Neodiprion lecontei: one gene and its partners. The protein of the gene in region 2 interacts with the protein of the main gene of each other region in a biochemical or structural test. Links are inferred from orthologs where the notes say so. Each region holds a gene or a part of one and is shown on either strand. Other genes may lie near its edges.

The links.
Region 1: of the proteins of ubiquitin-like modifier-activating enzyme 1 (region 2) and ubiquitin-conjugating enzyme E2 W, one has a biochemical effect on the other in vitro, tested with the Homo sapiens proteins (5 studies listed by BioGRID, with this or other methods). The link is inferred for Neodiprion lecontei from reciprocal best matches to the Homo sapiens genes UBA1 and UBE2W.
Region 3: of the proteins of ubiquitin-like modifier-activating enzyme 1 (region 2) and ubiquitin-conjugating enzyme E2 N, one has a biochemical effect on the other in vitro, tested with the Homo sapiens proteins (10 studies listed by BioGRID, with this or other methods). The link is inferred for Neodiprion lecontei from reciprocal best matches to the Homo sapiens genes UBA1 and UBE2N.

What each region holds. Positions count from the first base shown.
Region 1 is NC_060265.1:21,205,083-21,208,838, forward strand, and holds the start of ubiquitin-conjugating enzyme E2 W, read right to left. Parts: upstream 2,415-3,756; 5' UTR 2,191-2,414; coding exon 2,167-2,190; intron 1,153-2,166; coding exon 802-1,152; intron 346-801; coding exon 270-345; intron 30-269; coding exon 16-29; 3' UTR 1-15. Other genes in the region: protein MCM10 homolog, read left to right, coding at 2,988-3,756. UniProt on the Homo sapiens protein: Accepts ubiquitin from the E1 complex and catalyzes its covalent attachment to other proteins.
Region 2 is NC_060264.1:984,638-988,393, forward strand, and holds the start of ubiquitin-like modifier-activating enzyme 1, read left to right. Parts: upstream 1-1,207; 5' UTR 1,208-1,745; coding exon 1,746-3,756. UniProt on the Homo sapiens protein: Catalyzes the first step in ubiquitin conjugation to mark cellular proteins for degradation through the ubiquitin-proteasome system.
Region 3 is NC_060264.1:30,171,086-30,174,841, reverse strand, and holds ubiquitin-conjugating enzyme E2 N, read left to right. Parts: upstream 1-1,288; 5' UTR 1,289-1,301; coding exon 1,302-1,336; intron 1,337-1,408; exon of another isoform or gene 1,409-1,940; intron 1,941-1,980; exon of another isoform or gene 1,981-2,207; intron 2,208-2,364; coding exon 2,365-2,616; intron 2,617-2,718; coding exon 2,719-2,929; 3' UTR 2,930-3,231; downstream 3,232-3,756. UniProt on the Homo sapiens protein: The UBE2V1-UBE2N and UBE2V2-UBE2N heterodimers catalyze the synthesis of non-canonical 'Lys-63'-linked polyubiquitin chains. This type of polyubiquitination does not lead to protein degradation by the proteasome.

The DNA of each region.
Region 1 (3,756 bases), on a different chromosome or scaffold from region 2:
AATAGTGTTCAAGAATCAAACACTATCGTCTGTTGGCATAGAAATAGAATATATTACACATATAATATATATTACCACGACAAGTCAAGCTGATGTCTGCAACTGTATGAGTGCAAGGATATTCATGTTTTGTTCCAATTATCCAGACATTATTTTTAATATGGTAGCTTTTTAAACATCCATGACAATTTTAATACTTGAAAATAATGATAAAATTTCAAGCCATGTGATTTCCAAATATATTTTATTTGTGCAGTGTACGAACGTACCGTGATACCACCATTTCGTTTTCTTTGGATTCTTATTACATGTCTTCACATAAAAGGAATTATCAGGTGGCCTTTTCTGCGAACCAAAAATAAAAAAACAATTAGAATTGGAAAGATTCACCCATAGCATAAAATTGCTCAATACTCAATAATAACTTCAAATATTCAAAAGAAGGAATTGAAGATTGTGGTAAATTTTTCTTTTGTATAAAATAATGAATATTACTGGAAGCTTGAACATCTTTCAATGTTCTGCTTTTTTGTTGACAGATCATTCCTACTAATGATGAACAAAACTTAGATCCAAACTTTCGAACTATAACTCAGAAGAGTTGATGAACTAAGATCTTCATTATTTCATTTTCACAGTTAAATGTATTCTTCATAAACTGAACAAGTCAACTGAGGAAACCAGGTATTTGAAACGCTTTGAACAACTCAATGAGTCAATTAAGATAGCGAGGAACGAATATAAAACAAAAGAAAAATCATACAAGAAAAAAAAACCACATAAAAAATATTAGAGCATTACCTTTTCTTTGCAACTGCTCAGCATAGAAACTATACTTAAACAGACGCTTTGGACACTCAGAGCAGGTGACCAATCATCAGTCAGTATAGACAGACAGATATGACCATTGCTGTAGACATGTGGATGAACAGGGATGTTGCCTCCAATAAATGTGACTTCAGGTGAATCAAATGGGTACTTGGAACTGAACTTAAATTGCAACTGAAATCTTTCACCCTCGTATAGCGTCCCCTTTGCTCCTTCCATATGGATTATCCATTGTGTCAGATTCTGGCCAGCTTGATCACCATCTACGTGAACACCAGGAGGTGGTTCACGCATCAATGACATCAACTCCTTTTGTAATCTCCGCTGAAATCCAGTAAAATTTATTCTTTGTCAGATAAAGTAATTCAAATGAGGGTCAAGAATAACTAACAGAATTTGGAGACTATACCACAGAATCTGCTGAGAGTAAAACCCACGGGTAATTAACTAGTTATATTTTGAATGCTGTTGTAGATAACCTAGTAAAATATCAAAGTATCTATGTACCATAATATTAATAAAATTTATCACAGAGAACTGCCTCGGAATGAAGTTCTTGGAACAGTAGGTAAGCAATTATCAAATAACTTATCAAAATTGACTATATTCTACATTAGCAAGTTTTAATCAAATTTCTTTGTCTTCATTTAGCAACTTGTGAATTCTTTGATTTTTTCCTATTCTACCGATTTCCCAGGTTTGTGACAACCTTGGCAAATACATTGATATATTCGATTATTTGTGAACTAGTGGCGGTTGTACAATAATTTAAAGTAAAAATTTCTATCTTGCATTTTTCTGTAGCAGAAGCGATATATAAAATCTAGGACATCTGTCACAAATGAACAAATGTGCTTGGACCACATTAAATTTAATAATTATAATAATCCAGTTTTCGAAGTGTCAAACATAATCCAGTCTTGTACATTATAGACCAGCCATAATTTTTCATTTTATAAGACTATTTTGCTTGCGTTTGTGAGTCATAAGGTGGGATAAAAATATGTTATCACTTTCAGTTAAGCATAGAAATTCATTGTTCAGAATTATCATGAGTCACATACGTCAAAAGATTTAATACAAATTGCATTGGCACGTGACTAAGCGACGAAAACTAAAATTGACAAATGGAATAAATAAATAGAGTAAAACGTCACATTGGCCCAAGAGGACAATGCACTCACGTAGTTATTGGACTAGATACCCAATCGATACACTTTGGTATCTCAATTTTAGCTACCCAGTAAAATAAAATTTGCACACTACTTAGAAGCGTAGTAGCAGTCAGAATAATCTGACATTCACCTGCATTTCGCAAAAAATTTAACACCGACTCACCTCGGACGGGGACATTGCCGCCATTATTGTTAAACAGCACTTGAAACATAACCATTCATGGTATCGGAAAATTATGAACTTTAACGACGATTGTTTGGTATCTGAACGGTAAGAGGTGATGAATATTTGCAGCTATAAAATCGCATTATATCAACTTTATTCCAGATACATTGGTAGCGCCTAATTTGGAAACAAGTTTGTTAATTTGACAGTAATCCAAACTGACACTAAAGACAAGCAGCACCAGGCCACAGCAGACAGACCTCTGACCACACAATCCATGCTAGAAATAGTAACGTCAGAGATGCCCGCATAAAATTTTGACGACTGTAATTACCAACAGGTGTGTCAATTATTCCCGCTAGAGGCGCAGCGTCGGACTACTCATTATTACCATATTATTATCCATGAGTTTTCTACTCGTTCCAATCTCTCTATATAGTTCGTGATTGTTAATTGTGACTTACCCGCCAAAAAGTATGGCGAGGCAAATGTAAAGATATGTGTCAGCAAATTCATATTGGTTTTTAAGTAATCATTTTTGACAGAAATCCACCGTAGTGATAAGTGCAACGTGTGCTGCATCAAATATATTGATATATTTAATACATAATAATGTCCACCTGAATATACAACTTCCTTGACGTTTTTTATAGATTCATAGATTTCTGTTCTAACCAACTATTGTCTGGCAATACACCAAAGGTAAAAGAAGAATGATATTAATTATCTACCAAGTCTAAGAATACAATAGATATAACAGTGAATTTTATTTCAATGAATTTTTTGCTTTTTTATTTAGGTAGAAAACCTGTTTGACCATGGCTAGTGACAATGATTCCGACGTTGGAGATTTGCTAGAAGATCTGCTAGCAAATGATGAAACAGAAGATGCAGATGCATCCATTCAAAAATCAAAGCCAACAGAATCAAGCCTCAACTTTTTAGAACAAGAAACTAATATTCCTAGTCCTCATAGATATTCTACACTCGGTAAAAAAACTATGATTCACAATGGTGATACGGATTCATCTGATGATGAAGATAAACGTGATTTTGAAAATCAAAATTACTCCAGCTCAGGTCGAGAGATAAAGAACATTTTAAAGAGTAATGCATCCGAAACAAACACCTCTTATCCAAAAACATTTAAAAATACATCCGGATCTTTCACTAAAAATCACAGTACTGAGTTATGCTGTCCACCTGACTCCACCAAGACTGAATCAAAAGACATATACTGCGACCCAATATTTGGGTTAAGAATTATAAATCCTGTTGTGTCTTCAGCCTCTCTAAAGGAAAGAATGACAGGTAGAACACCAGTCACAGTTTCTAGAATCAAATATCACTTGAACACTGCAGATCTCCAAACTGACTGGGTAATTGCCGGAGTACTTATCAACAAATCTGGTACACGCAGTTCACAAAAAGGAAACCAGTACTGTATCTGGAAGATAAGTGACCTGTCTGATGGTATTAAAACCGTATCTTTATTTTTATTTGGTGATGCCTACAAATCATTTTGGAAAACTAATACTGGCATGGTGATTGGAGTTTTGAACCCAGGAGTACTGGATAACAAAGATG
Region 2 (3,756 bases):
CAGGCAGTGGAAAAAAACTGTATACAATGAAGTCTAATGGGCAGGCTCAAACTTGACGATAATTATCAAATGTATATTATATTTTAGCGTCATTTACCCACATATTAGATAACTGAATATAACATAGTGAGAGAGTATATTGATTATACCATAATTCTCAAACAGTGTGTTTTGCAACAAGAGATATTTTTACCCTGTGTGCAGAAGTACGTATTTGTGGTGTGCTGTAAACCGATGAAATAATTAAGGAAATGGTATAGCAGACCATTTACCTCTAATTTCTTACGTTTTGAAGAACGTAAATGTAAAGCTAACCCGGTAGTTGACTAATTATTGTAAAAGATTGAATCGTTGATAATGGAGTGCGGTATTTATAATACAGTGTAGGTGTGGCTTACATACGTAATTAAAATGCAGAAGGTTTGTTGTGAAATATTGTGGTTGTCGTCAGTTTTCTTTACTCCGCACCGTATATTACTCAGAATCTTGTATTTTTTATAATTTTCATTTTACTAAACAGTAGAGCAAATAAGAAGGCAGCTTCCTCAGAGAACAGCAATTCAAATTGAATGGCGGCAAGTTCGTCCGTACAACAGTATGTTAATAGACGGTCGACTCGTTGTTTCAAAGGCATTGATCTACCGATTCGTCATGGTTATGTGATTGTTCCGCAACTCTACCGTTAAGTATTTGAAAAGGGGCGAATAAATAAAAAATTTGAAAAAAAAACGTTCGCCATATCTCGAGTCGTTGTATATTTGTCAGTCGACGAGCAGTCACTTGACATTACTTATATTGAGAACGAATAAAAACTGGCAGAAATATGAAGCATCTGCCATACTCGCAGTTGTGCGAATTGGGGTCCGAATCATAACAGAAATCCTAAAGTTGAAAATATCCTATTGATTTATGTATTAAATTTCAAATCAGTGATTTAATCTCTGGAAGTCCGTAGGTACGCTCGCCGTTGACGAGGTGTATAAAAATTGCTAGTCCTGCGGACTTTAGCGTGCGTGCACGATGAGCTGAAGGGCGTTGGAAAAAATAGCAGCATTCTGCTATACCGACTCTACATCGGATCCCACAAGACGGGTCGGTAAGTACAGGCCACTAGAATTGACCCCAAACTCTATCAGACCCGATAAATTATTACGAGAAATAACTCTGCGCTAGCATTCTCCGTCTATCTTCAGTTGAACGTAGTCGTTGACGGAGGAATTTACTGTAAAAGTTGACGGTACGGTTCAAGTTTGGTAAGACGGCGCAGTAGTCACTTAGAATGACGAATCAAAATTTCGTTCGTGTAGTTACGGACGAAGATGGAATCACCTGTTCTACTTTTGTCCAGACTGCAGGGTTGCGATAACTCGATATCGAGAAGGCAGTGGGTGAATCGGCGGCCGAGGAGCGAAGAAAGAACGAGAAATCATTCCTGTATGGTTGGTTGTTCATCTTGTGCGTGCGTCAGGGCTAGAGACCCCAATCCTAGTGACGAATAGTCTTTGTCTTAACGTGAAGCAGGTAAATCGAAATACAATCGTGCACGTTGTCGATCGAGGAAAGAAATCAACGCGGCGAACGAGGGAAAGGGCTGGAAGAGGGAAGAGCGAAGAGAGGGTGGTGCGGAAGGACGTCGTAGAGAGGAGAGGAGAGGAGACGTGTTGCGCGTGAAGCGTAGGGCTTATCAGTGCAAGCGGACGAGGAAAACAATCGACAGATATATAAAACTGCTTCCTTGAAGTCCGATGTCTAGTGCTGAGGTGGTGGAGAGCTCCGTTGACCCCCCAGCCAAGAAGCGACGCGTTGCTGCTGCGACTACGGGAGGAGCCGAGAACCCCACGGCGATCGTAGAGATGGCGAAAAATGGCTCGACTTCCCGCGCACCGGCCGAAATCGACGAGGGACTTTACTCCCGTCAGCTGTACGTCCTCGGGCACGATGCCATGCGCCGAATGGCGTCTTCGGACGTTCTGATATCGGGCCTCGGCGGCCTGGGTGTAGAAATTGCGAAGAATGTTATCCTCGGCGGCGTAAAGTCCGTGACCTTGCACGACGACACCGTCTGTCAAATAACCGACCTCGGCTCTCAGTTTTACCTGACCGAGTCTGACGTTGGAAAGAATCGCGCCGAGGCTTGCAGCTACCATTTATCCGAGCTGAATAATTACGTCCCGACTCGTCACTATGCCGGCCCCTTGTCCAAGGAATATATTAAAAATTTCAAGGTCATTGTCCTCACAAACACATCACTTTCCGAGCAACTACGCATATCTGAAATAACCCACGCCAATAATATCGCTCTGATCATCGCCGAGACTCGTGGTCTGTTCTCCCAAGTCTTCTGCGACTTCGGCCCTTCTTTCACCGTCGTAGATACCAACGGTGAACCTCCGATCAGCGCCATGGTAGCCAGTATATCCAGGGACGTCGAGGGTATTGTGACCTGCCTCGACGACAGCAGGCACGGCATGGAGGATGGAGATTACGTCACCTTTTCCGAAATCCAAGGCACCACGGAGCTCAACGGCTGTGAACCCAAGAAGATCAAGGTGCTCGGCCCGTACACGTTCAGCATCGGAGATACCACAAAGTACTCGGAGTACATTAGAGGCGGTATTGTGACTCAGGTGAAAATGCCAAAAACATTGGAATTCAAGCCACTCAAAGTGGCTCTGAAGGAGCCGGAGTTCCTCATCACTGATTTTGGCAAGTTTGACTATCCGGAACAACTGCATCTTGCCTTTACCACACTGCACAAATACATTGAGACTAAAGGACGCCTTCCTCGCCCTTGGAATCAAGAAGATGCCCAGGAATTTGTAGCTGTTGCTAAATCGGTGAAGGAAGATGGTGGAAACGACATTGAGATTAACGTTGAGCTGCTAGAAACTTTTGCCAAAGTTTCCGCCGGAGATTTGAATCCCATGAATGCAACGATCGGAGGTGTAGTTGCTCAAGAAGTCATGAAAGCTTGCTCCGGAAAGTTTTCCCCAATTTTCCAGTGGCTCTACTTCGACGCCATCGAATGCCTGCCCGCTGATAAGTCGGAATTATCAGAGGAGGATGCCTGTCCAACCGGGACTCGTTACGATTCTCAAGTTGCCGTGTTTGGGAGAAAATTCCAATCGAAAATTGGGGCGCTCAAGTACTTTGTCGTTGGAGCTGGCGCAATTGGCTGTGAATTGCTAAAGAATTTTGCCATGATGGGTGTTGGTGCGGAAAATGGCTGCGTCACCGTGACTGATATGGACTTAATTGAAAAATCCAACTTGAATAGACAATTTTTGTTCAGACCTACGGACGTTCAAAGATCCAAGGCTTCTACCGCTGCACGAGTAATTAAAGGCATGAATCCTAACATGAAGGTGATTGCCCACGAGAATAGAGTTGGACCAGAGACTGAGAAAACTTACAACGACGAGTTCTTTGAAGTACTCGATGGAGTCGCCAATGCCTTGGACAATGTGGATGCCAGAATTTACATGGACCGAAGATGTGTGTATTACCGAAAACCACTGCTTGAATCCGGAACCCTGGGAACCAAGGGAAACACTCAAGTTGTTGTGCCGTTCCTAACGGAGTCTTACAGTTCGTCTCAAGACCCTCCGGAGAAGAGCATCCCAATTTGTACTTTAAAGAATTTTCCGAATGCCATTGAACACACTTTGCAGTGGGCCAGAGACACCTTCGAAGGACTATTCAAACAGGCTGCGGAGAGCGCAGCTCAGCACATCTCCGATCCTCTATTTATCGAGA
Region 3 (3,756 bases), about 29 Mb from region 2:
AATTTTTATTGGCTAAATCATTCGATCAATAATAGCAATTTTAGTGCTGTCAAAAGATGAGAATTGGGGGCTCGTCTTGAAATTTGCAAGTATATTTCGATCATTTTTACAGGTTAGGTAGGCGATCAGCGAAAACAATAGATACCTATATCAAGCTGAATCACCGATTGACGAATTCTTATCATTTGTTAAATTAATTCGGTCATGCTGGTAAACAAATGATAACAAAAGGCATCGCGATCTTGATTCTTTGATAAAATCGGTATTAACGGCTGATAATATTATTATAATTAACTGCGTGTGAACGAGGCAGACGTCCGTGATGAAGTTTCACGTAAATTTGTATGTAAACATTGCGATGTTGATAATACGATACATGTGTGCACATACATTTCATCCATAGAAAGGAGCAGATACATACCAGAAAGATAAATTCTGACGCTCCGTTTAATCGAAATAGATCGGTGATACGTTTTATTTATTTATAACGACGGGTTAACGAGACGCGAGGACACGCTTGAAACAATGACATGACGTCTCCGTGCTCCTGACGCATTTGACTTTTGAAACGATAATGATGACAGGTCTGTGCTCTTCTGTTAATCGTTGTCGACAGAGTCACGCTCCGTAGAACAGAAAGGGATTTAACTTACCTACCTGACGACATTGGCTTGACACGAGCGGCAAGCTTGATCGGTATTACTAATTCAAATTAATTGAAATTAGAGGAGTCGTATAAGAATAATAGTAAACAAACATTACAAATTTTACGTGTATTTTCAACGTTGACAACTCTCTCGTTGATGCACGTTACGTTGTATCTTGGCTATACCATAAGTCAACGTTCCAAGTCGACGCGCTCGCTTTCGAAGTCTAAGCTCATGGAGACGAGAGACCTTAGCCTAGATTTTCACGGGTAGCAATATACAATATTATTTCGCGACCGAGTTTTCGACAAATAGGAATGTCAATAAAGCAGGGGCCTGATTCTGACTTATTTTGCACTTGTTAAAAGAAGATTTTCCGTTTAAAGCTGCCTTCTGACTGGTCTAGATAACGCTTCAGATCAGGTTACTCTACAATCCGTTTTGCGGCACTGTAGGGGTGCGCTCCGATAGCAGCCTGTGTGTCAACAATCCTTCATCTCTTTTGCGCTGCCAATTTTGGGTATAGCGCTGCCTCTGTACTAGAGAGTTTTTGGCGCTGCCAGATAATTTCGGAACGCATTCTAGGTAGCGCTTCTGCGACAGCATTCTGCTGTCCATGAAAATCCAGACACGCTGAAGTTCCGGACCGGCCGCATGTGTTGGGATGCCCTTGATTTGTGGCGTCAAGGGTAAATTTTTATTTTACGATCCAATTCATAAAAAAGTTGCACAAGTGAATGTAATAGCTCATAATATGCTGGTCAATTTTTGTCGATGATTAAGGTTAACCTGACTATCGCATTTGCCTAAAGCAAGCGAATGAAATTACAATCCGTGACGAAATTGGCGAGACTGAATAATATCATCCACCATTCCCGTTCCGCTCCACTGTCGCCACCTGCGTATGAGGAAGTTAACTATCGAAATTGCAAGAAACACAGAACCTAGCTGTGGATACACACACTTGATCGTGTTAAAAAATTAAATTAGTTTTCTTTTCATAATAGAAATCAAAGCCTAGGTACTAGTAGATTATCTAAAATTCTAATTTCACTATCCGGCTCGTGTTAACCTAATTTGTACTTAACCAAAAGGTGAAGAGCCTCGCTAGATATCGGCGAACGAGAATAGAAAATATAATACACGATTAAACCGCTAACTGGAAGTAGTACACCACCACCGAGGATCTTGCGAGAGCTGGCAGGCGATCACGAATACCCCCAGTAACAGTGACGGAGTACGCATACTGCCAGACCTTCGGGGTGACGCGGGCACATTTTTTTAAACCAAAATGTACGTACATTGTTACAGTTACTGTTCCGCAATGCAAACACCCATCGCTTGCCACAGCACGATCAACGGCTTCGATCTAATGTCGAAATTACTCGCCGCCCAATGATATACGCCTTTGTTTACTCGAATATAAGTGCCGTCATCCCGCTTTCGCGAGAGATTGCCGTACTTTTTTCCTTCCATTTTTACTCCTATTATGTCTCGTTTGATTTTTTGATCAGAGAATGAAAAGTTGATAACACAAATTCGTGATAACTATTTGTATATGTACGTATCATTGCTGTAGACTTTTGGCTTGACATATATGTACTTTGCATTTTGCTTTTGCTGTAAGGTTATTGACTGCCTGTTTATTCTTCGCTCCTTAGTTCGCTGACTTTGTCTGACACTGATTTCATATTGTCGTCGATCGTTTTTCTTACAGATTAATAATGGCGGACCTACCACGCCGTATAATAAAAGAGACGCAGAGATTGATGCAGGAGCCGGTCCCTGGCATCAGCGCTGTACCAGACGATGCAAACGCTAGATACTTTCACGTCATTGTAACAGGTCCCGAAGACTCACCGTTCGAAGGCGGACTGTTTAAACTAGAATTATTTTTACCAGAGGATTACCCTATGTCAGCCCCTAAAGTTAGATTTATTACTAAAATATATCATCCCAATATAGACAGGTATGCTACATCTACTATTATAATGTATTCTACAATGTAAACTGTTGAAAAAGCTGAACTGATAACTAAAACATTTGATTGTATTTGGTTTCATGTTACCAGATTGGGCAGAATCTGCCTGGATATATTGAAGGACAAATGGAGTCCTGCTCTTCAGATAAGGACAGTACTGCTATCAATACAGGCTCTCTTGAGTGCACCAAACCCTGATGATCCATTAGCAAACGATGTCGCCGAATTGTGGAAGATTAACGAAGGTGAAGCGATACGCAATGCCAAAGAATGGACCCGTAGATACGCCATGGACAACTGATCTCAGCCTGGTCCGTTATCGGAGCCTTCCTCTCGCACGCATGGCGCATGGCAAAAACACCAATGCCTCATCGTCCCCATCTTACGATCCTTGTTCCCGTTACCACCTTGTTCCTCCTAGACCTCGAACAAATTGCACCACCACCCTGTCACCTTCCTCCACCAGACTAACATACTATCTCAGTCCCCTGCTGTTGCCACTGATGCTGTTGTCGCTGCCGCTACTGCTGCTGCTGCTGCTACTGCTGCACCTCTGTCGAAAATTTTGCTATTTGAAAGAATAAAAGGTTTTTTCTAATAAAATTATACGTATTATAATTAAAATGACAGACTGCATTTTCTATTTTCGATATTATTCACACAGTTTCGACGTTTAAATTTATTTCCATTTTATTACCGTTTGTTTAATTTTTTTACTCTCTTGATTATGTATCCAAATTGAATAACGGCGGTGAAAATCAGAGCAATAGAGTTGCAAATTCACACAAATACTCGAAAAAAGACATCGGTTCTTTACGCTTTTTTTTATCTGAAAGAAAAATGTTTTTATCTCGACGATTCACAGAGTCGTTATTTTGAACTACGCTTCTAGTGACGTGTGAGAAGGTAGAATCCATAGATCGACTCTTCATATATGTGATACGAGTTTTTAGGAGAATGGCAGAGCTGCTGTATATTAACTGACTGGTTGAGCTCTCACAGATGTGGAATATAATAATACTCACTACGTGATTTTACCATATAACAACATAGAGATAATCGTCAGTTGGAATTTTTACTAGTATTTGGTACTGGCTAGCATTTTCATAGACTACTACTACTACTACT